Linked DNA regions of Elephas maximus indicus. The protein of the gene in region 1 interacts with the protein of each later gene in a pairwise test. Links are inferred from orthologs where the notes say so. Each region holds a gene or a part of one and is shown on either strand. Other genes may lie near its edges. The genes, in order: TCEA2 and KXD1.

Region 1 (15,909 bases):
CGGGCGGCGGCCGTGGGACTGGTGGTGGCCTCGCGCCGGGCTGGCGCCCAGATATAGCGGCGCGGGGCCAATGGGCGGCGGGCGGGCGGGGCGCGGGCCGGGCCGCCCCCTCCCCGGGGGCTCCTTTCTTCTTAGCCGGATTCCGTGCGGCCTCCCTCCCGCGGCGCCCCCTCCCCCGCGCTCTCGGAGCGGGAGACCCTCGAATGGGAAAGAGCTGCAGAAGCTGCTGGGGCTCAGAGGGGGGTTCCTCTTGGGGGGCTGTAGGGCCTTCAAGCTGAGCTGTAACCGCCCCACCCACAGAGTCGCCCCGGGTGGTAGTTGGGGGAGGATGGCCATGGCTGGCTCGCTCCCGCGACCCCCTCCCCCAGGTAACTCCAGGAGGAGGGGACGTCTTATTTCAACACCAAGTTCTCCAGGACATCCTGCCACCCGCCCGTAAGTCCTCCCTAGAGTCTAACTTCAAACGTAAGAAGCACCGTCGGAAAGGCTCCAGGCTCTAGGACGGGCGCCCTCTGGGCCACCTGGGACGTTGGTTCAGGTTCTCAACCCTCCACGCACAGGTGGAACTTTAACCACTGGACTTTAGACCCCTCCTCCCCCCTAAGTCCATCGTGGGGCTAAAGGAGCAGGCAGTCCTCTGCTCCCTCCCCACGCCAGCTGATGCTGGTCTGGATGCCGGGACAGGGGAGGGAGACGGCAGATGCCCTGGACGGGGACCTGGGAGGGCATCTAGAGCCTGGGCCTCACCCTTCCCCCAGGGCCTGTTCAGAAAGGGGGAGAGGGGGGCAAGCAATGGCTGCAGCCAGAGAGAACAAGGCTTTATGGGAGTGGGGGACACCTGGCTGCCCCGTAGGTGCTGGTGAACTAAATGGTTTCCAGAGGAATATCCTGCCTCCCTGCTCCTCACTGTCCTGGTCCCACCCCATGGGGGGATTCTGGCCTCAGAGGCCAGGGGTCTCCCTGCACCCCCCAACAGTCCATCAGGTTTTGTCGGGTGAGTGGCCTTGTGGCTCTGGCCTCTCTGCCCTCCTTAACACCCTCTCGTTGCAGAGTGGGTTTTGTCAGCGCTGGCAAACAGGGGTCTTGTGCAGGTGCTGTAGCAATGGCCACTGTCCCTTGGTGGCCTTCAGGGTCCCCAACCTGAGGGCTGTGACATATCCAGCCTGTTCCTAGGTCATGTTTCACCACACTTGGTCTCAGTAACAGCCACCCATCAGCCTGAGGAGTAAAGGATGGGATTTCCAAAAGTGGTTTACAGATTTCCCCAGTTGTTCAGATTTGGCTCCTAGGCTCTAGTGCCGGGGCGGGGGGGGGGGGGGGGGGGCAGGGCACGGGTGCACAGAGGCTTAGGGTGAAGAATGGCATTTTCTGGGAGGTGCAGGGCCTGCAGGTGAGGTGGGGGACCAGGGGGCTCACTGGTCTGGTCTGGCTCTGGGTCAGGGGTGGGGGGAGGTATGTGAGGAAGACTCCAGTTGGGGGATGAGTCCCAAGGGCGAGCTGCCATGGTCTTCCCAGCACCTGTGGCTACCTCTACCTGTCGCCTTGTGTGTACCCTCTGGGTCTCCACGGTCTGGCTTAGCCTAGGGTGATGATCACTAGGCCTGGAAAGGAGCCTCCAGGGTCCCCTTTGCAGCCCTCTCCCACGTTGGGACAGATTTGCAGTTCCCTTGAGTGCTCTGCCTGGCCACCCTGCAGCCCTGAGAGCCCAGAGTTGTCAAAGCTGCTCCAGAGGCAGTGTCTGGCATTACCTCACCACAACCCCCCCCCCCCGGCCCCCAGGCTGCTTGTCTGGCGCCAGACAGTGACCCTCCCCTGGGCCAGGCTGTAGACTCAGGTGTCCGGCTGTCATGTCCTGTGAGCTGGCTGGGGTGGGGGGCCGGGCATGGCCACTGGAGAGCCCTCCCATGATGCTGCTCCGTGGGGATTGCGGGGTGGGGGAGCCCTGGCCACTGACTAGATGGGAGTGCCGCAGGGTAGGGGCTACTGCAAGGTCAACTCTGACCCTGATCCTGCAAGAGGGCCATTCACATGGGGCTGGAGGCTCTTCAGAGCTGCACAAGGCAGGTGTGGGTGTGGCCCAGCTCTGGGCTGGCTGTGCTGGGGAGGATCTGCTCTGTGTGTGTGTGTGTGTGTGTGTGTGTGTGGTGTGTGTGTGTGTGTGTCTGTTGAAGTGAACCCAGGTGCTGAGGCTGCTCCAGGCCTTAGGGGCCAGGCAGAAGCTGAACTCTGTCTCGAGGAGACCAGGGCCTGGCCTGTGGATCCTGCTTAGTGAGACCCCAGCCTCACTGCCTACCAAGGGAGGGGTCCCTGAGGCTTCTCTGACCAGGAGTGGTGGCTCCAGCTCATCCAAAGGGGGGTGATTCATGAGTTTAGGGTCATTCCTATGACCCTCAGGCTGGTCTGGCCCTGGTAGGCTGCCACTTATCTTTGTGAAAGAGCCAGTCTACAGCCCCCAGCCCCCACAGAGAAAGGTGGAGTGCGTGCGTGGGGTGTTCAGTGGATACCATCCTCTGGCCTCTGCCCACTCTCCTCCCTCAGCTTGAACCGGACTTCCAGTCTCTGGGGGAGGCTCACAGATGATGCTTGGCTGTCCCCTCTTGGTGGCTCTGGGTAGGGGCTTGGCTCTGTTCCGGGCTGGGGGTGGCGGGACCTCCCAGGCGCTGCCAGGGGCGCAGACCTCACAGGCTTGCACCATCCAGCCCCTGGCAACTGCAGAAGAAGCAAGGCTGGGACCAATTACTGAGTCCTGGGGGCCCAGAACCTCTGCTCCCAAAGTGGGGGGTCCTCTGTTGGCCAAGGCTTCAGGTGACAGGGCCCTTCTGGTCTTCTGAGACCCTGGCTTTGGAGCCACCCTGCCTCTGAGTGGTGTTGTGTCCTTGGGGTTGGCGATGGGAGGGCAGCCTCTGTCACCTAGGATACTCAGAGAGTGAAAGCCATGTGGTCCAGGCAGGATGGGGTCGTCGGGGAGGCCGCCCTGTGCCTCAGAGCCAGTTGGGCACTTGCCTGTGGCCAATGACTAGGTCAGTCACTGACCTAGTGGGTTCACCCGCCCCTGCTCTCCTGTCTCAGTCCCAGGGTGCTGGGCCTGGCCTTCCAGGAATGCCAGCCCCACTTCTGAGAAGGGGCTGGGGGCACTCCGTGCTTTCCCGAGTGGGCATGAGTGTGCAGGAGGGCGAGGGCTGTAGTGAGTGGGTGTGAGCGTGAGAGGTCACGGGTGTGAACAGGTGTGACCAGGCGTGAGTGGGCATGGGCATGGATGGGTGTGAGTGTGTGCAGGGTGGGCGTGTGTGGGCGTGAGCAAGTGTGTGTGGATCTGGATGTGTGTGTGTGAGTGGCCGCGTGTGAGCAGGTGTGAGCGTGTGGACAGTTGTGGGCATGAGCGTGTGTAAGCAGATGAGTGTGCCTGCGTGAACGCATGCATGAGCAGGCATGGGGATGAGTGCGTGTGAGTGCTCACGCTCCCCCAGCTGGAGCTCTCTAGCGTGGGGTCGGGGTCCGTGTTCCTGTGCGTGATTTGCCACAGTTAGGCGTTGGTGTGGGATTGGGTGTCGGGGTTGGTGCAAGAGGTGGCTGCTTGGCTGGTGTCTTGGGGTGTAAGTGGGGGGCCGTTGCAAGTCTAAAGAGGCCTCAGGCTGGATATATGCGGTGGCCAGGACCCTGTCTCCCCTGGGCGCTGTGGAGAGGTAGGCTGAGCAGGTGTGGGGTGGTGGGGACAGAAGGCTTGCCCACTCTGTGCTGCTGGGTCAGGTCACACGCAGTGGAGGGGCTGCTCTGTCTTTGTGGGTGCTGCAGATGCCCACAGGACTGGGGCATTGCTTAGGGACTGTTAGGCAGACTGTGTTGCACTGTGGGGTATGGGCTGTAGGATGAAGTTGGGGTGCCTCAGGGGTTCTTGCATATCTGCAGGGTGCTGAGGTGCCTGTGAGCTTGGGGGCTATTGTGCAACCCTTAGGGGTGTGTTGTGTGGCTGCGGTGTGTCCTCAGGGTGTCCGCATGCTGTGTGGGCCTCCTGGCTGCTCAGTGGGGGCTCCATGGGAACCAGGCAAGGGGACTGCCCCTCTTGGTTCCCATGGCAATGGCAGGGCGGGGCCAGGAAACACCAGCTCAGGAAGGAAGGCCGGCTGAGGGAGCCTGGGCTGAGCAGGCGCCAGACTCTGTCCGGTGGCCTGGCCAGTCCCCTCCTGTCCAGCCCGCTCCTGTCCAGTGTATCTCTGGCCATACCGCTACCCCCTCCGAGCCACACCACTTGGTGCCCCAGCCTATGGCCGAGTGCCCTGGGTCCTGCAGTGCATGTCCAGCCCCTATTTGGCTCTGTGTGCCCCTGCTGGACTGGCCTTTCCCTCCCCACCTGAACTCTCCGTGACACTTGCTGTCCAGGGGCCCTGAATCATCCCTGGGGTGGCTGCCAGCTCCTCTGGGAATCAGGGAGAGAGGGAGCCAGGGTGGGAGTGGGAGTAGAGCACCCCCAGCACCCCGTTCCACCTCCCCCCAGCCCTGCAGGGTGGGAGGCCTGAAGCCATGTGTTTCTTAGCTGCTTGTCCTGGTTTGGCAACCAAGCTGTCTCGGAGGGGCAGGACTCTGTTCTCAGGGATCATCCAACCTGGGTAACCCCACCCCTCTTGCTCATGGGCAGGGTTGGCTCATTCGTTCATTCATTCATTCACTCCTCCCTCAGCCCCCAATCTGTAGCAGGCGGTCCTGGGGGCTGAGGATTTGGCAGTGAACAGACCCTGACCATGGGCAGAGACAATCAGCAAATCCACAAGACAGAAAGAGTATGGGGTGCCAGGTGGAGACATGTTATGGAGAACAGTGATGCTGGTGAAGGGAACGGGGTGTCCTGGTGTTCACTGCCTGCCCTTCGATGAGCTGACGCCTGAAGGAAGCACGTGGAGGAGGGAGACCTACAGATTCGTGGGGAGGCATGTTTTAGGCTGAGGGGGCCAGTGTGCGGGGACCAGGGAGGTCTTTCTTTTCCCCCAAAGGAGATGTGGGGCCTTGGGAGGGTTTGAGCAGAGAAGGGGTATCATTTCACTCAGTTTTCCAAGGCCTCTCACACTGAGGCTGGAGCCCAGTGTGCCCAGTGAGCCTGGGCCTGCTGCCCGCCTGTGGGTCGAACCCACATACTTCTCCCACAGCCTGAGCCTCCCCACCCCCGCTGCTGCCCAGGGCCTCTGGGGAGGGTGGAGTGGCCGCCAGGCTGGCGGGCTGGCAGGCTGGAGGGCGGTGTTTCTGGGAATTGTGTGGGGGGAAGCGCATTGTTAAAGCAGTGCCTGAAGCAGGCAGCCGTGCTGGCCTCTGGGGGATGCCCTGCACCCCCACCCCACGCTGCCTCTTGGGGAGGGAGCGGGGCCTGGGCCAAGGCTGTGGGCTGGGACTTTCCGAGAGACACTACCTTGGGTGGGCAGCCCTTCCCATTCCACCGACTGGAAGACTGAGGCCCACAGAGCAGGCTGTCAGTGATGGACACAGCCAGGAGCACCTGGGCAGGGGGACCGAAGGGAGGCCTAGGTGGGATTGGCTGGTATCATGGCCCCTCAGAAACCCCACAGTAGGGAAGGTCTGGTGGATTGGGGTGCTCAGGAGGGGGTGGCAAGGGGTGGGTGTGGGCTCCGGGCTGTGAGGCTGTGACTAGCCTAGGGCAGTGCCCCCCATGGCCATGGGAAGTGGGGGGTCCGTGTGAGCTCAGCGGCCCCAGCCTTCCCACCACCGCCCCGCCCAGCCAGAAGGGAAGCTCAATGCCTGTCTGCTGGGGTCATGGCCGGCCTGGGCGGCCTGGGCGGGAGGGGGTGGGGGACACAAATAGAAAAATAATGGCCTGGGCTTCCGATGTCTCACGTGGCTGAGATGGGAGGGGCTGCAGGACTGGTGGGAAGGAGCAGTTCTTTGGGCCAAAGTGCAGCTGTCTGCAGCCTCGACCCCCACTCAGGTGTGTCTGCCTCCTGGGCTCCCCTGACAGTGCCGTAGTCCCCAGACGAGGTTTCCTGAGAGCTGTTCTTTGAGTCTCCGTGAACCTCACTGGAGCTGCCTGTGGGAGATAAAGCAGGAGGGCTCCCTGGAGGAGGGAGCTCTGAGGCTGGGAGAGGCAGAGGCTGATGCTCATGCACAGATGGACGCATAGCAGTCCCCCGCCTGGCACCCTTTTCCTTTGGCCGCACCTCTCTGCCCATTTATGCCTCAGCCCCTGCCTTCTCCTCCCACCCACACCCAGCCCTGCATGGGCCAACGCTGTGGCCTAGCCTCCACCCCCTCCCTGCCAGCCCTGCAGGGGCTTCATTACATCAGCAGGGGGAAACCTGGAGAGGGGCCAACCCAGAAGGTGGTGAAGCTGGTGAAGCTGGGCTGTTGCTGCCTCACCCTCCAGAAAGTCTGTCCCCATTGGTCAGAGTGGCCGGCCCTGCTTTGTTTGTTTAAGGGTGACTAACTGTCTGAACTAAAGCTCCAAAAGGCTTGGCTCCCTGGATCTCCCCAGACTCTGGGGGGCAACACATGTCAGAGATGTGGAACATGTTAACTGGGTTTTGAAGATTGAGCAGGAGTTTGCCTGGGAGGTCTGGAGGTGAAGGGTACGAGCAGAGACCAGAGGTGTGGACACACCAGGAGTGGAGGGCTGGGGTCAGAAGGGCCAGTACTGTGAGTAGTCTGGGGAGCTCCAGTGAGGAGGGGCCTGGGGCAGGATGTGCTCTGGGAGGGACGGGAGACTGGGCTCTGTTGCCCCTCCTGCTGGAGCCTACCACAGCCCCTTAGAGGCCCCACCGTGTGTGGACTGGCATGGTTGGCTCACCACTGCCATCTAGAGGCTGCTGCTCCACATTCCCCCCATACCGTCTCCGCAGTCCCTCCTGCAGGGGCTGGGGAGTCTCAGGACCTCCAGCTGGGACACCAGCTCCATCCATGACCTCGAGTCAGCTCGGCCCCACCTGTGTCCCCTGTGTCCCCAAGGCTACAGGAGCGCCCTCGTGGTTCCTGCACGAGGGCAGCCCGGGAGCTGGTCTGAGGTCCTCTGGCCAGCTCTCTGGTCTGGCCAGTCACAGGCCATTGAGAAGGTTGTTGAAGGATGTGGCTCCAGCCTCCCCCGGTGCCTCTGAGGTCGCACACATGCTCAGACCATGGCATTCAGGCCACATTGGGCCACAAGGACCTACTGGGCTGGGCTGGGCTTAGAGCTATGGTCTGTTTTCCTTTTCGCTTTGGCTGCTGTGAAGCTTATTCATATCTCGTTAATGTCAGCCAAGGCTGTTTGGGCCTCACACCTCCACGTGGCCTCAGGGTCCAGTGCCCTTGGCCTGAACCCTCCCTCTGAACCACACCCCCTCCAACAAACCACCCAGCATGGGCATCGCTCAGGAGGTGGAATGGGTGGGGCGCTGTCCTTCCCCGGCCTAGCCAGTCCCTCCTGTGAGTGCAGGCTGGTCCTTCAGGGGATCTGCCCTCCAGCAGCAACTTAACAATGACTGGGATTGCTTGTGCCGCATTCAGGCCCGGTTCTCAGTGGTGACGTGAATCAACTCGCATCCACCTGACAGCAGCCCTGTGAGGTGATGCGGTCACCCCATTTACAGACGGGGAGACTGAGGCACAGAGCACCCACTGCCTTGCTTGGGGCGTCTCGAGGGGCAGCGCTGGGGTTGCCAGCCCCAGCGGTGCCCCCGCCTCCGGCGCCTTCCCACCCCAGCCCAGGCCCCTTCCAGACCCCATATTGCTACTGCTGCTCACGCCCCTCCGGCGCCGACGCGAGGCCTCGTGGCGAGCGCGGAGAAGTTGGGGATACTTCGAGCAGAGACCCTGCTGCAGCCCGACCCAGGCGAGAGGGGCCTGACGCTCTGCGGCGCCCCCTGCCGGCGGTCCCTACCCGCGGCCCTCATCGCGGGGGCTGTTGGACTGCGAGTTGCCTGGCCTCACAGGTTCCTGGCGGCGGCCGGCATTGGGACTACATTTCCCAGCAGGCCGCGCGCACGCGCAGGGCCAGCTGGGAGTTGTGGTCCAGGAGGGGCGCTCACGCGCGGGACGAGCGCGCGCAGAGACTACGCAACCCAGGGTGCAACGCGGGGGCCGCGGGAGTCGGGGTTTGAGCCGAGGGTCTCGGCAGCGGTGGCTGCGGCGGACTGCGGCGGACTGCGGCGGGTTGCCGGGGCGGCGGGGGTTGTCTCCGAAGCCGGCGGCGGGCTGGCGCGGCGGGCGCTGGGGCGCGCCCCGGGGCGGTGATGGGCAAAGAGGAGGAGATTGCGCGGATCGCCCGGAGGCTGGACAAGATGGTGACCAAGAAGAGCGTGGTGAGGGTCGCGGGCCGCCAGGGCCCCGGGACCCCCGTCCCGCCGAACCCCGGCCAAGCCCCGGTCCCGGGCCGGGAGACCCTTGGAGGGCAGGCAGGACGAGCCCCCGCCCCGGCACAGACTCCTGGGACACGGGAAGACCCTCGCCCAGGGCCGAGACCCCTGCCCGGGCCGGCCGTTTACTCGTCCCCGCGCCCCGGCAGAGGCCGCTGTCCGGGCGGACCCGGCCTCAGAACCACCGCCCTGGACTGAGACCCTCCGCGGGGCTGAGCCCCTCCCTCCCCGCCCCCCGCAGACCGGGTTCCGCCCGCGGCTTCAGACCCGGGGCCCGGCTGCAGGAGACCTTCCTCGGCTGCCCTCGCCCGGGCCTCTCGAAGAACACCCCCCGCCCCCCTTGTTAGCCGACCGCCGCGCCCCCCGCCTTCCTCCTTTCCAGCCACCTTTCCGGAGCGCCAGCCCCCGGCCCTGTGCCCTCTGCCTACCCCAGCCCTCCCCCCACCTTTCTCAGGACGCAGAATTTGGCATCTCCACCCCCTCCCCGCCCCTTCCCCCAGTGCAGCCCCGTGCCCCAGTGCTGCCCCTCCGTCCTCTTCACAAACAACAGAAGCGTTTCCGGCTGCCCTTTTTGTCCCCACTGCCCCACTCCACAAAGTCCAGTTACTCCAGTAAATTCTCCCGTCCTTAGCCAGGACTCAGCCCGCAGCGACTGGGGTGGATGGATGTATAGAGCCCCTTAGGAAACCCCATAGGATTCTGTAAGAGCTGGGAGGTGGAAACTTGCTGGCCGAGCCCCAGATGCCGAGTGGCTTGGCCCTCTGTCTTCCTGTCCAGCAGCCACTGTGTGCCCTGGGAGGCTGTGTGCCGTGGTCTCTAGGAGAGGCCAGCCCCCCCCCCCAGCTTTGTGACCTTGGCAACCTTCAAAGAGTCCTTGGTGGAGATCTGCCCTGTCAGGAGGCTGTGCGGGGCCTGCCAGCTGGGGGCAGCAGGCAACCGGCCAGTGGATTCCAGCTCAGCGACCCTGTAGGACAGAGTAGAACTGCCCCATAGGATTTCTAAGGTTGTAAATCGTTATGGAAGTAGACTGCCACATTTTTCTCCCACAAAGCAGCTGGTGGGTTTGAACTGCGGGCTTTTCAGTTAGCAACTGAGCACTTAACCACTGTACCACCAGGGCTGCTAGTAGGCAGCCAGGGCTCAATAAACCTTCAAGAGACCTGCTCTCTCCCCTCTAGAGTGGATGCCCTGTGGGGCAAGACCACTGGCTGGGAGTCGGCTCAGGGGCTGGGTGGCCATCCCAAGCCTCACAATGGCCATGGGGTTTGGGGTGGTTTTTTGGGTCTCTGGTGACTGTGACTCTGGACTGGGGTCTGTGGCCCCCCATTTAGGAAGAGGCTGCTTCTCATTCATTCATTCATTCAGCAAGCATTCAGGCTCTATGGTGTTCACACCCCAGGAAGCTGTGGGCAGGCATAGTAAGGGTATGGGCCAGTCTCCTAGGCCTTTGCAGAGATGACCAAAGGTGGAATAAAGGCGCTCACTTGGGGGTGGGGGTGTTGTGGTGGGAGGGCAGGCTGGGGCCTGGCAGAGCTGGGGAGGCTGTGTGTCCAGGTGGAGGCACAATAGAAACCCTGGGGTGGGGATGAAAAGAAAGAGGGAGATTGTGCCCAAGGCAGCAGGCAGAGCCATCTGTCCCTTCTGAGAGGTCCCAGTGTACAGACCAAGGGGTGAGGCCTGCCTGATGGGATGAGGAGGGGGCTGCAGCCTAAGCAGAGACACCACCTTCTTTGGGGGGGGGTGTGCCAGGCCTGGCCCTGTGCAGGGCACCTGGGCTGCAGGATGTTGTTAGCTCTCACACCTTGGGTGATGGGTCATTCATCCCTTATCTTGCAGGGAGACACACGTGGAGATTCACTGGTGCAGTAGAGCTCTGTCTGTAGAGGAGGGTGGGGGTCACATGGATGTGGGTGCAGTTTTCAGTAGGAAAGGCCTCACTGAGGAGGTGCTGTGTGAGTGGACCTTTGGAGGGAAAGGCGGCAGAGGGCTGGCAGTGGAGCAGCTGTGCAAGGGCCCTGAGGCTGCCTGGGGCACTTGGGGGACAGTGGGGGGCGCTGTGCCCAGGGTTTGGTCAGGGATAAGGTCAAGGGGGAGACCACTGGGGGCAGTTGTGTGGTCTAGGCATGAGGGAGGGGCAGGGTCTGATCCTGGGGTGACATGAGGAGGTGAGGACCGCTGGTGATGAGAAGGCGGGCCTGGGACTGGCTGATGTCGCCGTGGAGAGGGGCTGGGTGCCACTGAGTGTGGCCATGGTGCTGTTTGAGTAGGGGGTGCACCTGCTTTCCGTACACTTTGGGTGAGGCTGCCTGTTTCCAGGGAATGGGGACAGGTGGTAGGCAAAGATCTGGGACCTGCACAGGGTTTGGGGCTGGCCCACTGGCTGCAGCTCTGGGTGATGTGGTCTTGGGGAGGTTGGGAAGTCACAGGACCCGGGCTACAGTGCTGCAGCCCCAGGTGGAGGCCTGGTAGCACCTCCAGATTGTCAGTCTCTGGCATGCAGGAGGAGGGGTGAGGTCCCACAGACCTTACACCGAGGTTGTTGAGCTGAGGTCCCTCTTACCCCAGGAAGGAGCGATGGACCTGCTTCGGGAGCTGAAGGCCATGCCGGTCACACTGCACCTGCTGCAGGTCAGTCACTAGGTCCAGGACGGGGGTGGGGGGCGGTGTGTGTACATGGTGGGCGGGGGGGGCACTGAGAACAGAGGGGGTGTCCACTCCCGTGGGGGTTCCCATGCTGACACCTCTGCCCCACCTCCCCCAGTCCACCCGCATCGGGATGTCGGTCAATGCGCTTCGGAAGCAGAGCTCGGATGAAGAGGTCATCGCACTGGCCAAGTCGCTCATTAAGTCCTGGAAGAAGCTCCTGGGTGCGGTCAGGCCCTGGGGGGCTTGGGCAGGTGGGGGGGGGCAGGAAGATGAGCACTTGAGGGACTGGCCAAGTCAGGAGGCCACTCAGAGGAGGATGAAGGAGGTGGCTGGCTGGAGTGTGGACACCACCTTGCAGGGAGGGGATGGAGGGAGGGCAGCCTGGGCAGGGATCACTAGGCTGGCCAGACACCACTTCCTGGGAACAGTGGGATGACTGGGGGTTGCAGAGATGCCCCCCACCCAGGACAGGGAGTCCCCCTCTGGACCTGAGAGGCCCCTCTGGGCCTGTGTGTGTGGCCGTTGGGTTTTCTGTGGGGCAAGCGTGTATTCTGCTGGTGTGGGGGGAAAGGGGTCCCAGCCCTGGCACAGGCCCAGGGCCACGGCTGTGGGTTCAAGAGGGGCCTTGGTTAGGAGTTGCTCACACACGTCTTCCTGGTCCAGCTCAGGCACACTGGTCATACTGAGGGCTGGCCTCCTTGGACCCACTGCTGCTGCAACTGCTGGATCCCCACACCTTGGGATCACTCTGGGCAGTGGGCTGGCCCCAGGAGGCAGCATGGGGGGCATCTGCAGAAGGGGCATTGCAGGGGTGGTATGGAATACAGAGGTGGGGGAGGCGGGGGAGAGGGCGTTTTAGCAGGAAGGCCAGCAGCCCCAAAGCCCCTTGCAGTCCCCATAGCTCCTCAGTAGCCCCTGGCAGCTCCCCAGCTGTGGGTGTGACCTTCTGGGGACAAGGGTGCTGTATGGCTGGGCCCACCCTGTGGCGGCCATCTGTATGCCTCCCTCGGCCGGGCCCAGCCCTCCTGGGCTGCCTTGCCAAGCCCCTTCCCACTGTTATCTGGCAACTGCAGATGCTTCAGACGCCAAAGCTGGGGAGCGGAGGAGCACGTCCCTGGCCTCACTGCCATCGAAGGACACCTCCGAGGGAAAGGCCCACAGGTGCGCTTGAGGGGCAGGTACAGGTGTGTGCTATCCCAGCTTAGCCCCCCAGAGAAGCGGTGCTCACACTCCTACCCTGAGGGTGCTGCTCTGTGAGGGGGTGGCTTTGCACCCCTTCCAATGCTCCTTGGGCTGGCATCGCTGGGTTGAGTCCTGCCCATGACTCTGGACTTGGTGTGTCTACTTTGGCGTCGGCGAGCTGCTCCCTGCCCAGTGTGGGGCAGCTCAAGAGTCTGGAGCCAGCAGCAAGGCACGGGGTGGGTGGTGTGGAGAGGCAAGACAGGAGCAGGCAGAGCGGGTGTGTGTGCTGAGTGGTGAGGGGCCAGGTGGAGAAGCCAGACAGAGGCTGTGTAGGGAATTGGGTCGGGGGGGGTCTGTGGAGGGGGCCGGGCAGGTGCCAGAAGAGGGGTGGGGAGAGGCCTGGACCTAGCTGCTGCTGAGCATCGCACCCTTCTGAACACCTATGTGTATTGTTTTTCCTTGCGAAGTCCTCCTGCTCCCATTGGCATCCCATGGGGCCTCTGGGTCGTGGGACACTGGGTTGTGGGGGGAGGGCTGGGTGGCTGTAGCCTGGCTGTTGGGCTGCCACGTGGGGGCCTAGCCCTGTGAGGAGGTATCCTTACTGGTTTTATACCTGGCAGGGGTGACCCAAGAACTGGCCTTGGGTGAGCCGAGCCTGTCTCCACCAAGGCGGATGGGCATCTTGCCGTGGTGGTGGCTGCTGTCAGGGTACCCAGGGGTGGCTGTGTCCAGGGTCTCCCTGACAGTGGGTGGAGCTGTGGATGGCTTCTGGCACCCTGGCCTCTGGTCCTGTCTGCACTGTTATGGTGCACTTGGGCCCGTGTCTGAGCCCCATAGGCCGTCCCTCTCCAGCCGCAAGAGGCCGGAGCTGCCCAGGACACCATCGACCCCTCGGATGACCACATTTCCCCCAGTACCCATCACCTGTGATGCTGTGCGCAACAAGTGCCGAGAGATGTTGGCTGCTGCCCTGCAGACAGACCGTGAGTTCCCACCAGCCACACCCAGGTCCGCCCAGTCCCTGATCCTTGCTCTGGCTCTGGACACAAGCTCCAAAGGGTCCGTGAAGGACAGCCCTGCCCCTTCCCCAGCCCAGTGCTGCCCACTTGGGGCAGGTGGGGTCTTTGGGACACAGTGGTGTGTCCCTTCCTGCTGCCCCGGGGTGTTGGGTGGGTGGAGGGCCAGTGGGCGTGGTTGGTCAGGGCTGCCTCTTGCAGATGACCACGTGGCCATCGGCGCAGACTGTGAGCATTTGTCGGCCCAAATAGAGGAATATATCCTTCCTGCAGGCATGCCGCCTGGCACCTGTGAGGACTGGGGCCTGCTGGGGCTGGCTCCCCCTGGTGGCCGCTGGTAGGCACCGCCGGCCGCCCTGTGCCCTAGGCAGGGCGGCCACCTCCTTCCTGGGCGCGTCAGGGTCTCAGTGCGGAATGGTCCAGTGGAGTCCCCTGCCTGCTGCCAGGCCAGGGTGGGTGACTCTGCTCCAAAGGGCTTGTCCTAACTGCCAGGTAGAGCACGGTGGCTCCTCATCCTAGCCCAGCCCCTTATGGGGAAGGGGTGTCCATGGAGGACCCCAACCCAGTTGGAGTTCCCTGTGGGGAGGGGATGCCCATGGAGAACCCCAGCCCAGTGCAGCCCCTCTTGGGAGGCCCACGGGTCCTTAGCAGCTGCACGCATCTTCCGGGACGTGGGGAGCACAGACGTCAAGTACAAGAACCGCGTTCGGAGCCGCATCTCCAACCTGAAGGATGCCAAGAACCCGGGGCTACGACGGAGCGTGCTGTGTGGCACCATTGCGCCCCAGCGCATTGCCGAGATGACCTCGGAGGTGAGCTACTGGGCCTGGGGCAGGGGGCTGCTTTGAGGGCCTGTCCCTGACTGGCGTCCCTCCAGGAGATGGCCAGCGATGAGCTGAAGGAGATCCGTAAGGCCATGACCAGAGAGGCCATCCGTGAGCACCAGATGGCCCGAGCAAGTGGCACCCACACTGACCTCTTCACCTGTGGCAGGTGCAAGAGGAAGAGCTGCACCTACACCCAGGTGGGCCTCCTCCCATATACTAGTCTCTTCACCTGAGGCAGGTGTAGAAAAGAGCTTCACTGACACCGGGTGTGTCCCCTGCCTGCAAGCCAGCTTCTCCTGAGGCCTGGCCCCAGTCAGCAGCATTCTTGGTGGTGGGGTCCACTACCTGGCACTCAGGTTGGGGACCCTGTCCAGCCCAACAGGGGTGCCCTGAAGAGTGGGGTGTGGTGAGTGGATGCCAAGGTGCTCTGAGGGGGCGGTATGGATGTCAGGAGGTGTAGGGACTCCAGAAGGTGTCCAGGTGAGGGGATGGGGGTTGGCAGATGGAGTTTTTGGGAGGCCATGGGAACCAAGCCACCCCATTCCCCTGTGGCACCTGGGCCCACCCGCCCTGCTGGTCCCATTGGTCTGTAAGCCATGCAAGCTTCCAGATGACACAGGACAAGAGCCAGGCACAGCCCCCTCAATCCTGGGGTGCCCGCCTCAGCGGTTGGTGTTTCCTACCCCACGAGATGGTCTTCCTGCGGCCCTGGCCGGTCGGGTCTCCCTGAGAAACAGCCCCACGGCCTGGGCCCTTCTCACCACAGTCCCACACAGGTGCAAACCCGAAGCTCTGATGAGCCCATGACCACCTTCGTTGTCTGCAACGAGTGTGGAAACCGCTGGAAGGTAGGTTGAGCTCTGGCTTTGGGTGGGCAGGTCCTGGGGAGTCTGAGCTGGGTGACTGTGCCTCTCACCCCAGCATCAGGTATGGGCAAGAGCATGGGCTGGGCCGAGACCTCAGCCATGGCCTCATGCCCGACTCCTCACAGTTCTGCTGAAGCTATGCATGAGCCTGCAGCCTCTGCTGCCCTCCCCACCTGTCGACTCGGCTTCCCTGGAGACCCAGTGCTGCCCCCGCCATCCCCAAACAACCTACCCTCGCCCTATCCTGCCTGGCGTGCACTTCTCCCCTTTGTCCCAAATTATTAAACGTTTCTTTTTGCCATCCTGATGTCCTTGGCCCTCAGTTTGGGTGGGCTGCCCCCATTCTCCATGTCTAGTCTGTCTCTGCTGCTGTGGACAGCCCTCCCAGTCTGGGGCCAGCTGACATGGGGCCCTATGGGCAGTGGGTATCACGGAAGGTCAGCTGGCCCCAGAAGGATTGAGGGCCTGGGCGTAGAGGTGGGTGTGGCATCCCATGAGCCTGTGTGTATGTGTGCACATGTCTTCAGGTGAAGTGAAGGAACGGGAGATGGGTGTACTCAGGGATGTGCGTGTGTGTATATGATGGGCCTGCCGAGCTGGGTGTGTGGGCTGGCGGAGCAGGGGACTTGTCCACTTAGATGACTGAGGTGAGGCCTAGGTTAGCTGCCCTCAGCATCCTCCCAACCCACCCCATGCTGCCAGCAGCTCTAGCCTTGAGTTTTGGAAGCTTTGACCTGGGTCCCTCTGCTATGCCCTCCTGTGGGGCCTTTCGGCAGCTTGTTCTGTCTCCCACCCACATCTCTTCTTGAAGTGGCAGAGTGGACATGCTAGGGTGGGGGAATGTGGGGGTCTCGGCCTGGGCTAGTTCCAGCTTTGACTCACTTAGCCTCTTAGAGGCTTGGCTAGGCAGGAGTGATGAGGACATTCCTGGGGCCCGTGAGAGGATGGAGGTGACTCTGTACTTGGCACTGAGTCACCACTGCCGAACTCCCCGCCAGGGTGTCCATGGGGCCATTCAGAGATATGCCACGGTCGCTGAACTCAG
Region 2 (15,930 bases), on another chromosome or scaffold:
CTGCTAACAGAAAGGCTGGAGGTTTGAGTCTATCCAGAAGCACCTCAGAAAAAAGGCCTGGCAATCATCTTCTGAAAAATCAGCCATTGAAAACTTTGTGAGGCACAGTTCTACCCTGACGCACACGGAGTCACCAAGAGTCGGAATCGACTCAAGGGCAACTGGCTTATATTACATTCCCTTCTAATACTAAAAAAAATACTAGTACTCGATAATATTAGCTAGTGCTATTTTTAGAAATAGGACTATTATCAATAGCTGTGGTGATGTTTCTCACAACCCTATTTTATCAGCTTCAAGATAACCCCGTTTTGTATTAGTGTTTGTATTACATATAAAACGTTATAACACAGGCCCTCCAATGGCACAAATGGTTAAGCTCTTGATTAGTAGCCAAAAGGTTGTTGGTTTGAACCCATCCAGAGGCACCTTGGAAGACAGGCCTGGCCATCTGCTTCTCAAAGGTCACAGCCTTAAAAACTCTAGGGAGCAAAGTTCTACTCTGCACACACAGAGTGACTATGAGTTGCGGTCAACTCAACGGCAACAACAATCTGCTGTGCGTTACAGATGTACAGCTAGTACTGCTAATATTGTTGGCAGGTGTGATGCCGTGTGTTGTCACTTATGCGGTGTTAGTATGACTGAGTGTACCGCCCTCAGCACTAGCAGGAACACCTCCTCCACCTGGACACTAACGTTCTTCTAAAGTCCTGGGTGGCTGGGACAGGGCACTAGGGGTCAAGGGGGCCATGTGTGGGTTCAGGGGCTTCTTTCCTACAGGACTTCTCTGTAGAGCACTGAGAAATGCTGTGAGCATCTGCCAGAAAGCTTGAAAAAATGGGACATTCCTCACATCAGCCTGACCTCAGGATGCATTTTTTGGGGAATGCCCTTAGCAGGAAGTAGCTGAGAAGATGCACTAGGGGCTGGTGACACCAGGATGCCACTCTGTGGCCCCGGCCAGCAAAGGGAACAGGGACACAGTACCTCATGGAAGGTTTAGGGGCGTGACAACAAGCAGGTCACAATCACTGTGGTTACCGCTGACCCTCACAGCAGAGGCGAGAAAATGAGGCTCAGAGGGCAACGAGTCTGGGTCAAGGTCACTTCTGAACCTCAGCTGTCCGGGTCACCTGCTCCTTACCCAGGATATCCAGCCACTCGTCCGGGGCTGGGGCTGGGGCGGGCTCAGGCTCCATGGCTGCCAGGAACTCTCGGGCCAGGGCCCCGGGCTGCTCCAGCTCTTCCGGCGGAGTCTGCCCCATGTCCTCCAGTGGTGGCAGCTCACTCAGGTCATCCTCCTCCTCCTCTTCTTCCTCCTCCTCCTCCTCCACGTCCTCGACTCCATCCAGCACCTCAAAGTCCTCCAGTGGTGGGACCCTGGCAGGCAGCGGGGTGGCGGGCTCAGGGCCCACGGCAGAGGGCTCGGCACAGGATGCCATGCTGTTGGGGGGAGGGGACGGGCTAAGAACCCCACCCGGTCCCGCCCATTTTCCCCTCCACCTCACACTCTGCAAAGTAACTTGAGGCCTCAGTTTCAACTATACAATGGGTATTACAACTACACTGGCTTGTTGCAAGGATTTAACAAACTCTGGCCATGTAGCTCAAACAGTGTCACCATTACTAGAACTAATTATTACTTACTGTAAATGCCCTAGTAGAGGGGTGACCACCCTCCCCCCCAAACACACATTTCCCAAAAAAGGGAACTGAAGCCCAGAGAGGTAAAGCCATTTGCTCAAGGTCACAGAGCAAGCCAGCAGGGGTGGGATTTGAACCTCGGGCTCCAGAGCCCTGGGATTTTGTATGATTAAATCCCAAAAAAGGGTTCTGGGATTTTCTTTGAGAGTCAACTAGGAGGCCTTTGGAGGCTATTTTTAGAGCTCCAATACAGAAGAACAATCTCTCCCAGAACTCCCTGCCTGCTGCTGCCCCTTTTCCTAAGGAGGAGCCCCCGGCCCACAAACTCACCTCCAGCCCTGTGACCCTCCAGAAACCCCAAGCCCTTTCCTTCCAGACTCTGAAGCTTATAGGGCACCCTCCCACACCAGGGACCCTTGGCCCTGCACCTGCCCTGGGGGCCTTTTCCTCTCCCCAGGTCTCTTGACCCCTATAACAGCAGGCCCCTTTGCAGGACTGCTGGAGATACCCCCACATTTTATGCCCCTTCCTTGTCCCAGGCCTGTTGGGAGCCCCCCAGCCCTGGACGTGACATCACGAACCACCCAAAGCCTCAAGACCCTACGAACCTCAGGAGGTGGGGGCCGTCGTCTTAACTCACGGCACTTCCCCCTCCATCCTTCACCTGTCCTCTCCTGTTGGGCTTGGGCTCCCTTTCGGAGACCCTCCGAGACCCTATCCCCACAATCCCCTGCGCCGGCACAAATCGGCCTCCCCCGCTCCAACTACCGCCCCCGGCCTGGGCCAGGCCCCCCAAGCCGCTCCCTCCCCCATAAACACCCGATGTCCCCAGACGCCCCCCTCCTGGCCCCATAGGCCCCCACACCCTCCACACACCACCCGCCCAGGCCTAGCCCGTGTCAACTCCCCAGCAAGACCCCCAACGCCCCCTGCCCGTCTAACGCCACCAGTCGGGGGCCCCGACCCCCGCACCACTGGGGAGTCCCGGCCCTGCGCTTCTCTGCTGGCAGACCCCCACAGCTTCCCGTACCCCCAGTCCCTCCGCCCCCGCCCGGCCGAGCTCCCTCGGCACCCGACCCCCGCGCGCCCCCGGTCCGCCTCCCTCGCCCCGCCCATCGCCCGTGGCCCCTGCCGCGCCGGCCCGGCTCGGCCAAGGCCTCGACAGCGCCCCAGTCCGGCGCGACCCCGCCGGCACCCCTGGACACGTGCCTCCAGCTCCGGGACCCCCTCCTGGGGTCCTGCGCCCCCCTCCCCGCCCCCAGCCGCCGCCGCCGCCGCCGCCGCGCCTCGGGAACTAGGCTCGGGCCCTGGCCCCGCCCCCCAGCATGCCCATTGGCAGCAGCAGCCGTGACCGCCACCTCCATTGGTCCGAACACCCGTCCATCTAGGCGCAGGCACCGCCCCCTTCCTGCTTGGGTCCGCGGGGCGCTCTTAAAGGGGCCGCGGCTCCCGGGCGCCCCAGGGGGCGGGGGTGGGGCGGTGGAGGTGGACTCGGGGAGCTGATTGGACGCGGGAGGGCGTCTGAGATGCGGGTCGGCGCAGCACAACCTGGGGGGACTCCCTGCTCCCGGCCAAGCGTCATCCTGCCTATCTGCGAAATGGGGATAAACATCCTTATCCATGCAGCTCACCAAGGATCTGCCGGGAGGATTGTGCTACTTGGTGTTTCCTACAAGAGCTGAGGCTGCAGTGTCAGAGCAGCTCTGAGGCTGCTGGATAGGCCACCTGGGAACCTTTGTCACAGCTGTGCCTGAGGGGGACCGTTGTGGCCCCCGGTTTTGTCTATCTAACCCCCAGAAGATTGCCTGGGGCATACAGTAGGTGCTCAGTAACTACCAGGTTGATGACCCTGCAGGGCCGCTGGAAGTTCTTCCTCTGCGCACCCTGCTGAGCCACTGCAAGAGGGTGATAAGGTGCCCCAGGGCCCTGAAGAAGGTGGCAGCCTCGATTAGATGTGTTTCTGGATTTTGTTTTCAAAGAATAGGGATGGGGGGCACTTAATTCCACTCTTGCTCTGTTTTATTTCCTTAGCAGCAGTTATCCTCGTCTGGAATGATCTTGTTCATCCCATGGGAGGGATTTTTTTGCCTGATTTGTGTCCAGTACTGTCTAGAAGGATGCCTGTCACGTATGGGCACTCAAGAAATTCTCGTTGAATAAATGAATGAATTGGACACTAGCTACTGGAGGTAACTAACATCTCAGATCCAAGCTCCAGTGTCACCTCTTCCAGGAAGCCCTCTGCGACCTTCCCAAAGCAATGTCATGTGCCCTGTTTCACTGCTCTTCTGGCACAATGAACCTCCACTTCATATTTATTTTTGTGACATGATTTGATTAACCTCTGCCTCACCCACTAGACTGGGATACCCCAAAGTCTAGGAATGGTCTGTTGTTTCTCATTGTTTTAACTCTGAGGCCTACACAGGGCCTGGCAACAGGCAAGGGGGTGTGGGAGGGACTCAGGAAAATTGTTGTGGAAGGAAGGAAAGAAAGTAAGAAGGCAGGCAGTTCAGCCAGGAGGGCTGGTGGGACATTGGGAGTATGTGAGAAAGAACTAGGGAAGGGACATCATATAAAATGAGGGCCAGTCCCACTTCTAAGGGACTTGGACAATTTCCTATCTCTGAACCCCAGTGTTCTAGGCATTGGAGAAATCATGGACAACAATAATAAACAATAAACGAAAATATAACAAAATAACACCAACACCAAAAAAGTAATCATGATAGTAATGGCAGACTCACATTTGCAGGCACTGCTGCACACCTTCCAAGTACTGAATCCCCATGTTGACCAATAAGCAAATAGACCATGTCATCTTCCTGGTGAATCGAACCTTTTATTATTTTTATGACGTGAATCTCTTTATCTCAGTTCTTCCTGCCTCAGAGTGGACTTTGGCTGTTAACATTGCATACTTGTTTTCTTTTGGTTTGTATTTTAAATGTTCCATCCTTTGCAACCCTTCTAGCTTCTACTTTTCCATATCCTTAAATTGTATACTTGTGTTTTGTGAGCAGCATGCAGTTGGGTTTTGCTTTTGGATCCAGTCTGCCAATCTTTGTCCTTTAACTGGGACATTTGGTCTACTTACATTTAATGTAATCATGGACCTCTTTGGGCTTAAATCTGCCTTCTTGTTATATCTTTTTGCTCTATGCCCCTTTTTTCTCTTCTTCCTTGCCTTCCTTTGGATTCATTTTGGATACGTTTGGTGAGATTACTTTTTTTTATTGTGGTGAATATATAGGTAACACAACGTTTGCCATTTCTACAATCTTCACATGTACAGTTTCGTGACATTAGTCATGTTCTTCACTATTAACTGTCCTTGATAAGACTCTTATTATTCTCATTTTATAGATAGAGAAACTGAGCCACAGAGAGGTTAATTACTTTGTTCAAGGTCACATCCAGGAGAGAATGATGAGCCAGATCCCTTCGCGCATTGAACTTCCATTGCAGCCAGGGAGCCAGGTATTGCATGATGATGATGCAGATAAGAGTTGAATTGCAGGTGTGACAAATTCTATGGAAGAAATAAACTAGGAAAAGAAGCAGAGAAGGGATTCTACTCCCCATACCTGGACCTCCTGCTTTCTCCTGAACCAGAATAAGTCATATATGGTGGCTGGGATGAGGTTCCATTCCTGAGGGACAAAGCTTCTAAAAGATTGACTGCTTTGGGGCACAGAGATTCTAGTGAGGGTCTTGGAGAGAAAGTTCATCTTCCACTTAAACCAACTCAGGTCTTCCCCTCCTTTCACATTCCCCCCCAGCAATGTCCGCATCACTGGGCAGCTGTCAGCAGGTTGAACGTTCCCATGACTTCTCACGCTGTCCCTTCAACACACAGAGGAAAATATGTTCTTATCCCCACTCCACTGTGCACAAAACATTTGGGGATGGCCAAGCCCCTTTTAGCCTTGCTGTGCAGCCCCCACCCCTCCCAAGACCTTCATAAATATTTCCCGGCCTCCAGCAGAGCCCAAAGGACCCATTGAGAAACTTCCTTTCTCCAGCCTGGGCCTCTTTTCCTGCAGCCTGCAGACAGAGCCATGGTTCAGCTCTGACTCCCCCCTCTCAGCACTGGTTTTGCTGGACTCATTCAACCCCCCAGTTCTTACAAAGATCAAATTCACACAACGTGTTTTCCCATCATCCTGCCTTTGCTCCTGCAGTTCCCTCTGCCTGGAATGACTGGTTGTCTCCTAGAAAACTCCTAATCCTACTTCAAAACCCCATCCAAATGTTTCTACCTCCTTGCAACCTTCCTTGACTGCCAAATGAGTCTTCACGTCACACTCTTCAGGCTCCTCCAGCCTTGAGTCCTGCTCACTCCCAGCGCAGTAGTGATCCCCACAGGGCTGGGGGTGTCTGTGTCTACCTCTGTCTCCCTTCCTCCTCTAGGGCTAGGCAGGAATAGAGTGCTCTCTGGATCCCCAACATATGGCCCAAACCCAGAGGAAGCAATGGGAGGGCTTAATCAACAAATTTCAAAACGGTTTGTTGAACTAAATCTATAAAAATACTGGTCCTCATTGACTTTTCAACAAACGATGCAGTGGAGTGTGGGAGTAATAATATTACCTACCATTTACTGAAAGGAGCCTTAGTGGCACAGTGGTTAACATGCTTGACTGTTAACCATAAAGGTCAACAGTTTGAACCCACCAGCCACCTCACAGGAGAAAAACCTGGTGCTCTGCTTCCATAAAAATTTCACCCTAGGAAACCCTATGGGGCAGTTCTACTCTGTACTATAGGGTCACTATAAGTCAAAATCGACTTGACGGCACACACAACAACAAACCATTTTTGAGGATTTATGGCATGCCAACCCTTATGGTGAGTACTTCACCTGCATGATTGCATAACAGTCCTCCCTCCAAGGCTAGTACAATGATTATCCCCACTTTATGAACGAGGACGTCGAGCTTTGGGGACTGTCTTAGTCATCTACTGCTACTATAACAGAAATACCACAAGTGGATGGCTTTACCAAAGCCAAGTAGTAGGCTAGTAAGCTACAAGTCCAAATTCAGGGCGTCTGCTCCATGGGAAGGCTTTCTCTGTGGACTCTGGAGGAAGGTGCGTGTCATCAATCTTTCCTTGGTCTAGGAGCTTCTCTGCAAAGGAACCTCGGTCCAAAGGATGTGCTCTGCTCCTGGCACTGCTTTCTTGGTGGGATGAGGTTCCCAACTCTCTGCTTGCTTTCCTTTCCTTTTATCTCTTGTAAGATAAAAGGTGGTGTAGGCCACACCCCAGGGAAACTCCCTTTACATTGGATCAGGCATGTGACCTTAGCAGGGGTGTTACAATCCCACTCTAATCCTTAACATAAAATTACAATCACAAAATGGAGAACAACCACACAACACTGAGAATCAAGGCCTAACCAAAGTGCCACATATTTTGGGGGAACACAGTTTAAACCATGACAGGGAGGTTAAGCCACTAGCCCAAACCCATCCAGCTTGAATGTGACAGAATTGGAATGAGAACTCTGTCCCATTTCAGGGATTTTACAGTCTTCCATGTACCTGAGGACTTATATACGTATCTCCCAAGCTCTCGACACCCTTTAGAGGTAGATACCATGATCACTACAACTTACAGTTAAAAAACTGATACAGTGATTACATGCATAATGTATAACATATGCACACCAGAGGATCTCAATAACTAATAATGAGTTATTAACATTTCTTGAACAATTACTATTTGCCCCATTTGGTTCACGCATCTAACCTGGTGTCATGAATTGAATTATGTCCCCCCAAAAATGTGTGTATTGACTTGGTTAGGCCATGATTCCCAGTATTCTGTGGTTATCTTCCATTTTGTGATTGTAATTTTATGTTAAAGAAGATTAGGGTGGGATTGTAACACCACCCTTACCCAAATCACCACCCCAGATCCAAGGTAAAGGGCGTTTCCCTGGGGTGGGGCCTGTACCACCTTTTATCTCTCAGGTTTCGGTGGTGCTTCCTGACTAACAGGCTAGTAAGAGAGACCCGGCAATCTACTTCTGAAAATTAGCCAATGAAAACCTTATAAATCACAACTGAATATTGTTCATTGTAGTGCTGAAACACAAGCCTTCTAGGTTGGAGGACACTCAAGATATGTAGCAGATACAACAATGGACTTGAGCATACCAGCAATCATGAAGATGGCACAGGACCAGGTAATGTTTCATTCTATTGTACATGGGATTGCTATGAGTCAAAGCCAACTCCACAGCAGCTAACAACAACATACAGCTATTATCTCCTACCTCTCACTGCAGAGAGGGCCTAGAAACAGTGACATCCCAGTAGCAATGAGCACATCCAGCATCCAGAACTTGGTTTCTAAATACCATTCGTACAGAAATGGAACCAGGCTCGAGGACAAATGGCTGGTTCAAGGATTGTGCCAGAACCTAGAACATCTTGTGGCGCCAGAAAGCAAGGAAATGCTCAGAGAATGATGGGTTTGTGTCAAAAGGATGCAGAAACAGCACTGAATAATTATGTGCTATTATCCATTTAAAAAAACTTTTTTATTATCCATGGAATAAAATAACAGTGAGTTTATAGTGATATAAATAATTGCATCAATAAATACGTGGAGAATGAACAGTAGAATTCTAATGAATTACCAAATCAATAACTAGAAAGATCGCAATTAGGCAAATACCCCACTAATAATTGTGGCCACAAGGACCATGGAGAGGTGCTAAAATTTGCAGGTGAAAATACGACAAACAGGGTATTTGCATGGTCTCTAAGTATCTTTCCATAAGATACCTATTATTTGTAAAGAAAAACATAATAACTTCACAGTAAAGAAATGGAGAGACAATGCCTTAAATAGCAATCTAAAAAATCTTGAGAAGGACACAGCATCACTTGTGTGGGATTTCTGCCAAAGATGTACCATCAATCTAATCACGAGGAAACACGGGACAAACTGATGTTGAGGGACATTCTACAAAACTGAGCAGTACTCTTCACAAGTATTAATATCACAAAAGATGAGGAGAGACTGAAGAACTGCATGGGCTGGAGGAGATTAAAAAGACACAACAACTAAATCCCAAGAAAGCTCTTGACTGGGTTCCTGCACTTGCAAAAGGTCTCCAAAGGTGGAGCAGGGATTTTGGAACCCAGGTGACGCTAATTCTTAGTCTGGAAAGCAGGGTACCAGGGTCTGGGTGTATCTAAGGCCACTGGAACATTGTATGGCCTCAAGGCAGTACTTGCTGCTTTTCAGAACCAGGGCTTCCAAACGGTTCTTCCAGGTTAAGTCATGGCTGATGAAGAGAAACTGAACCAGATCCAAATTTTTAGAATTTGGGTGAACCAGAATGATACCCAGAATGGTAAAAATTACAGGTTGAAGCCCTGCTGGAAACTTAATCTCCCTCTTAAAAAGCAGGAGCAGCATACACGTTGCGTAGCAACCGAATCTCTTGACGCTGGGATTTTGAGCATAGCCAGAAACAGCACTGCCCAGCTCAAAGATGGCAGCCAACCATGCTGTTTTGAATGTGTCACTCTCCACCAAACACACTGCCTTTGAATTGATTCTGACTCATAGTGACCCCGTAGGATTTCCAAGGCTGTAAATCTCTACTGAAGCAGACTGCCACATCTTTCTCCCCAGGTGCCACTGATGGTTACGAACCACCAACCTTATGGTTAGCAGTTGGTCGCTTTAACCACTTCGCCACCAGAGCTCCTGTCGCTCTCCACAATTCTGCCGATAATTCAGTCTTAAGCATGAGGCACCTAAAACGGCTCACTATGCCTCTTCCAAGTCTCTCATTACAGGATTTCGAAATTGTAAACATACATATCTACTCAGAGTTCGTCTGCCATGACTGAACCCATTCGAAGCCCTGATAGAGATTCAGCCTACCAATCCATAAAATGGAGGAAGTGTCTCTCACGTTTCCCCACTTCCGGGCTTCCTCGGAGCGCAGCGCAGGCACAAATAGGATTATTTGATTGGCTATTTATTCGGACGCACCGGTGAAAGGGGGTGGCTGCGTCTAAGCCCCGCCCTTCCGGTTGCACCTCCTCACACGCACGCACGCACGCACGGAGTCCAAGTTCACGTCACTGCCTTGCGCGCTCGCACGCACGGTGCGTGGTGTCGTCGCGGCGGCGCGGACGCCATCCCGGAAGCGAGAGCAAGACCGCCAGATGTGCAGGTGCCGCCACAGCCGCCGCTGGACCGAGGCTGGGGTGGGGACGGGGGCTCCGGGGCGTCGAGGAAGCTGGGTCTGGTCGGGCGCGGCCCTCGGGCTGCCGCGGGGTGGGGCGCGCCGCTGGCCACATCAGGACCCCCCTCCTGCGTGCACAGGCCTCAGTTTCCTTGTCTGCGCAGTGGGTGCGCGAGTGACGCCGCAGGACGGATCCCGATCCGAGGAGCGGAAGCTGGGGCCGTTTCTGTTCAGGTTGTGCTTTGTCACCTGAAGCCAGGAGTTGCCGGGCTTTCGCCCAAGTTTTCCTGCTTTGTAGTGGGGGGCGAGGGATGTGCGAACCTCGTCCGACTCGAGGGTTGTCCTGAGATCGGGTCGCGAAGTCCGGGCGCTTTTGCTCCAAGACTTGGGTGGAGTCGCGGCGCCTTGACATGTGACCTTGGGCAAGATACCGAGGTTTCCCTTAGGCACAATATTCCCTGCCTCATAGAAGTGATCGAGAATTATATGCAACGCCGTACAAATGTTTGCTCGTATTCTTGGCACTTGGCGGGGGAGCACTCGTTAAAATACCAGCTTGTGGGCCCCGCCCCAGGACGTCTCCAAAACCCCGCTGGAGAATCAGCATCCTCTGACCCCTCTCTAATCTCCATTGTCCCCAGTCTTCACAGACAGCGATCAGACAGCGATGTGACACCCTCACTCATCATTATTCTCGTTTTCTGGGTGAGAAAACAGAGAGGTGAGGTGACTTGCCCAAGGTCACACAAACTTTCCAATGCCGGTTTCTCCCATCCATAATATGTTTAGAGCAGGGAAGGGAGGAGAGAGATCCCCTGCTGGGTTTTTTTCTGCTCCGCTAGTCAGAGAGGACTTCCTAAGACAGGCAGCTGGAGAGGGGCATGAACTCCTCAGGCCTCACACGTGGGAGCCAGAGACAGGCAAAAGTCCTGCTTTGAAGTGGACCATTTCCTGCAGCACCTGTGTCTGCCAAGTGCTAGCTGTGGGCCTCCTACCATGTTACCCTGCTCTTTAAGCCCAAATGCCGTCTTCATACCATGGGTCACCATGCTTCCTTGGAAATACTGAGACCACAGGTGTTCACGCCTGGTGCAGTAGGAGCTCAAAAAACAGCAATTATTGGAAGAGGGGAGGGCTTTGACAGCTGCGGCAGTTGCTCCTGGAAGGCATAAAACCAAAAAGAAAAAGGAAAAACCAAACCTGTTGCTATGGAGTTGATTCAGACTCTTGGTAACCCTGTATATGTTACAGAGTAAAACTGAGCTTCATAGGTTTTTCAATGGTTGTCATCTTTAGGGCAGCAGATTACCAGGCCTTTCTTCCATGGCACTGCTGGGTAGGTTCTAACTGCCAACCTTTGAGTTCGTAGTCGAACACGAACCTTTTGCACCTCCCAGGGACCTTCCTGGAAAGTGTACAGGGATGCAAATTGGTAGCCAGGTTCAGGATACCAGTAGCTACTCTTTGGCCTCCAGCATATTTTGGGGGAAAAAACCAAACTGGTTGCTAGCATTTGTAAATGAGGCAATTTCACGTGAAAAAAAAAATCTCGATTTCTGTTTCTACTTGGAAAAAAAAATCAGAAGTCTGTGAGAAATCAGCTGCTGTAAGAAGCAACTGCTCCTCCATGGACAGATACTGAGCACTTGCTCAGATTCACCCCTTTGTGGAACCTGCAGACCTTGGGCATTTGAGTTTGTGACTCAGTCTCTCTGAACCTCAGTTTTCTCATCTGTAAATAAGGATGATAGCAGTTTCCAGTGTGTGAGCTTGGTGCTGTGCTTGGTATACAGCAGCTGTTCAGGAAATGGGAGTGTGGGTTAAGTAGGCTCTGAAGGCCCTTCATGATCCTGTGTGTGGATCTTGTTAGCTGTTGTTGAGTTGGCTCCAACTCATGGTGACTTCATGCACAACACAACAAAATGCCGCCCAGTCCTGCACCATCTCAATGATCAGTTACAGTAAGACCCTTGTGATCCATAGGGTTTTCACTGGCTGATTTTTGGATGTCAATTGCCAGGCCTTTCTTCCTAGTCTGTCTTAGTCAGGTAACCTAAAAAAAAAAAAGGCAAGCCCGTTGCTGTCAAGTTGATTCTGACTAATCGTAGCCCCAAGTGACAGAGTAGAACTGCTTCATAGGGTTTTCTTGGCTGTAATCTTTATAGAAGCAGATTGCCAGGGTTTTCTTCTATGGTGCTACTGGGTAGTAGTGAAACGCCAACCATTAGGTTAGTAGTCAAGTGCAAACCATTTGCACCATCCAGGGACTTTATCTTAAGTCTGGCAGCTACACTGAAATACGTTCAGCATCATAGCAACATGCAACCCACCACTGGCAGACAGGTGGTAGCTGCTCATGAGGTGAATTGGCTGGGAATCAAACCCAGGTCTCTCACATGGAAGGCGAAGGTTCTATTCTACCACTGAAACATCACTGCCTCACCTGTAGACTTCTGGTGAAATGAGTTCTTTTGTGTGGCCTTTTGCCTTGGTTCTTGGAAAAATAGCTTGAGAGCTTTTTCCTAAGGCTCGAGGAGTTACCTTTGCCCTAGTTTTCTTCCCCAGAGGGTTTGTTAATTTTGTCCAGGTTGATGGACATTTCCCAAACTTGACTTATAAACAACTTGACTTTTTGTTTTGGCCCTGGGCTGTAGCCTGCCCTGTAATTAGTGTGCACCTTGCAGGGATTGGTCAGTATATTTACAGAGAAGAAGTGTTTACGGTTTGTGGTCTACCAGGAGGGGATTGGTCAGTTCATGGCTCTGGTGGGAGGGCCATACTTTGAAATTGACCAGGAGTTTGCTTATATGTGCAGACAATTCCACAAAGGTTGGCAGACAGAAAGAAGGAAGAAGTGGAAAGGAGAAAAGGCAAGAAGAGAGAAGCAGCAGAGAGAGAAAGGAGGTGAGGGACCTCCTCAAAGAGCTGTAACACAGGTCAAGGGCTGTGTTAAGTGACAGGCCTGAAAGGGGCCCTGAGCCAGGGCCAGGGCTTTGAACTGGTTCAAACCAGTTCATTAGTGGCTGGTGAAGTGAAACTGGCACAGACCCAAATTTTTAAAATTTTGGTGCTGCAGAACAAGAAAAATTATGAATTGAAGCCCCGGAGTGGGAGACTCAGAAGAGGTGTAGTGAGCCCTTTCAGGAGCCTGATGCATGAGTTTGGATTATTGGTAGGAATGTGGAGAGCGACATACATTCAGAGTGGTGTGGCTGGCTGCCATCTTGAGCCGGACACAGCTATTTCCATCTCTGCTCAAAATCCTACCAGGCAAGAGATTGGTTGCTATGCAACACGTATGCAGCCCTTGTTTCCTAAGAGGGAGATTAGATGTCCAGGAGGGTTTGACCTGTAATTTTACCGATTCTGGTTACCATTCTGGAGCACTTAGTTTTAAAAATTTGGATCTGTGCCAGTTCCATTTCATCAGCCATGACTGAATCAGGAAGAACCTGTTTGAAGCCCTGGGCAGAGCTGGTGGTATCAGGCCTAGAAGGGGCCCTGTGGCAGTTGTTGGTGATGGCGGGGAGGCTGAAGGCAGAGAGGCCTATGCTCAGGGGGCTGAGAGGAGGCCTGTCTTCAGGGGACTGAGAGGGGCTGTGCACAGCAGAGAGAAGAGCCTGCTTGCTTGCATGGCCAAGAGGAGCTGAGAGAGCGGTCCTGCACTGAAGAAGGGAGAGATGTGCTCTCCACTTCTGGGGAGCCCTCCAGACTTTGCCTATGTGCTTCCTGATCCTGAGTTGTACCCTGTTACTTCCTTAATAAACCACTTAAGTGTAATCGTGGTATATGAGTTCTCTCTGGCCATTGCTATGGATTATCGAACCCAGTAGAGACATAGAGGGTGCCATGGGAGGGATGGCTGGTGACAGAATTGGTAAAAAGGTTGGAGAGTATTGGTATGTCTAATCTCCACACAGTAGGGATCAAATTTGGGCCGGTTCTGATGGTAATTCTCATCATTCCTACTTGTGAAGTTAGGCAGGTTCAGAGACTACTGCTAGACCATTTTTACAGGATCGTAACCAATTGCAAATGGATTCTTCTGTCAGCCGTTAACTGCGTGGGCCCCAGAGCTAAGCTGTGCTGGAATTCCAGGTTTTTCCTGCACTGGGGGGACAGTATTGAAGCTGGGGTCCTGCCTGACCTGGTCTGGAAGCCGTTGCCTGCCAGGATGGTCATCTTTGAGCCCGGGAAGCTGGAAGCTGCAGAGCCATCTGGTGTACCCACAGCCTGGCTGCGAGTGCCTGAAATTCTTGGCTTTAATTTTCTGATAAAAGTCTATCGTCAGATCTGATCTGAAAGATTCTCTTTGCGCCCGCAAAAACCAAGTTCTGTCAACCTCTGTGAGCCCGGTTCTGGGCAGGGGACTGGAGACTGAGCAACGTGCCTCTATTCTCGTGGAGCTGACAGTGTGGTGAGGGCGGCAGACGCGCAGGTCACCTGATAGCTAAGACAGTTCTGGAATAGATGGGCCAAAGGAAAGATTAGAACAAGATGACTTGGTGGGAGTAACCAGGTGGGGAGTAGTCATTGAAGACTCCTCGGGGAGAGGAGACGTGGGGGGTGAGTGATGATGTGAGGAGGGCGCTGGGGATGGCTCACAGAATGAGTAAAGGTGGGTGTATGAGTCTTCAGTGGCTGCTGTAACAAAGTAACACAAACTGGGCCAGGAGTTCAAAATCAAGGTGTCCACGGGTCTGTGCTCTCATTGAAACCTCTAGGAAAGGAACTGCCTTTTAGCTTCTGGTGTTCTAGCAATCCTTGGTGTTCCTTGGCTTGTACCTGCATCACTCCAGTCTCTGCCTCCGTTGTCACATGGCCTTCTCACCGTGTCTGTGTCACTTCTCTTCTTAGGAGGACAACAACCAGATTGGATTTAGGGCTCTTTCTAATGACCTCAATGGGGCAGTGATGGTTCAGTGGTAGAATTCTCACCTTCCACATGGTTCAATTTTTGGCTGGTGCACCTCATGCATAGCCACTACCTGTCTGTCCTTGGAGGCTCGTGTTTTGCTCGGATGCTGAACAGGTTTCAGGGGAGCTTCCAGACTAAGATGGACTAGGAGGAAAGGCCTGGCGATTGACTTCCAAAAATCAGGCAATTAAAACTCTGTGGATCACATCAATATCTGCAGCCGATCATGGGATGCTGAGGGATGGGGCAGTGGTTTGTTCCATTGTGCAGGGCATCTCCATGAGTCGGGGGCCGACTTGACAGCACCTAACAGCTAATGATTTCATCTAAACTTGATTTTATCCACAAGACCATATTTCCAAACAAGGTCACGTTCACAGGTACCAGGCCTTAGAATGTGGACATACCTCTTTTGGGGGGGGCAAAGGTAACCCGTAAAAGTGGGAATGAGTGAAGGCAAGTAAAACCAGGGAGGAGGCCTGCTGAGGTGGGAGGGATCATGGGATTCTGATGTGTTTGGGCTTGACTGGTGGATTCTCTTTGAACTTGTACTGTGCACCAGGCATGGGTGTTAAGCGTTTCACAAACTTGACCTCCTTCAGCTCTCCTCCCACCAAAAAAAAAGAAAAATCAAACCACTTGCAGTTGAGTCAGCATTGACTCATGGCCACCCCATGTGTGTCAAAATAGAACTGTGCTCCATACAGTTTTCAATGACTGAGTTTTTGGAAGTAGATTGCCAGGCCTTTCTTCTGAGGTGCCTCTGGGTGGACCTGAATCTCCAGCTTTTCAGTGAGCAGCCGTGAGCTTAACTGTTTGCACCACCCAGGGACACCTCAGCTCTCCCAATGCCTCCAAATTCCTGAAGTGCTGTCCCAGAGGTTCAGGTGGGTGACTGCTCCCGGCCCTTTTGTCCTGCCTCCACCATGCCTGGGGCTGATGGTGGCCTCTATCTTCTTACCCGTTGCAGGCTGTGGAGGAGGAAGAAGAGATGGATGCCCCAGACTCGGCCTCAGGGGTCTTCTGCAGCCGCGTCTTGAGTATGGTGAATGCAGATGATGTCAATGCCATCATCCTGGCCCAGAAGAACATGTGAGTGGGAGGAGCTGCCTGCTGGCCAGCTTGCCCACCCTGCCCACTCTGCCCC

Evidence for each region.
Region 2: the proteins of TCEA2 (region 1) and KXD1 interact in binary tests that used the Homo sapiens proteins (3 or more experiments, as listed by UniProt). The two-hybrid records come from large-scale screens. The link is inferred for Elephas maximus indicus from reciprocal best matches to the Homo sapiens genes TCEA2 and KXD1.

The regions. Positions count from the first base shown.
Region 1 is NC_064843.1:4,072,144-4,088,052, reverse strand, and holds TCEA2 (transcription elongation factor A protein 2), read left to right. Parts: upstream 1-8,019; 5' UTR 8,020-8,204; coding exon 8,205-8,273; intron 8,274-8,798; exon of another isoform or gene 8,799-9,330; intron 9,331-10,892; coding exon 10,893-10,955; intron 10,956-11,088; coding exon 11,089-11,194; intron 11,195-12,046; coding exon 12,047-12,134; intron 12,135-12,992; coding exon 12,993-13,429; intron 13,430-13,828; coding exon 13,829-13,983; intron 13,984-14,048; coding exon 14,049-14,195; intron 14,196-14,764; exon of another isoform or gene 14,765-14,774; coding exon 14,775-14,846; intron 14,847-14,989; coding exon 14,990-14,998; 3' UTR 14,999-15,349; downstream 15,350-15,909. UniProt on the Homo sapiens protein: Necessary for efficient RNA polymerase II transcription elongation past template-encoded arresting sites.
Region 2 is NC_064821.1:38,487,145-38,503,074, forward strand, and holds the start of KXD1 (kxDL motif-containing protein 1), read left to right. Parts: upstream 1-9,800; 5' UTR 9,801-9,845; coding exon 9,846-9,887; intron 9,888-9,913; exon of another isoform or gene 9,914-10,099; intron 10,100-15,753; coding exon 15,754-15,875; intron 15,876-15,930. Other genes in the region: peptidyl-prolyl cis-trans isomerase FKBP8, read right to left, coding at 1,148-1,445.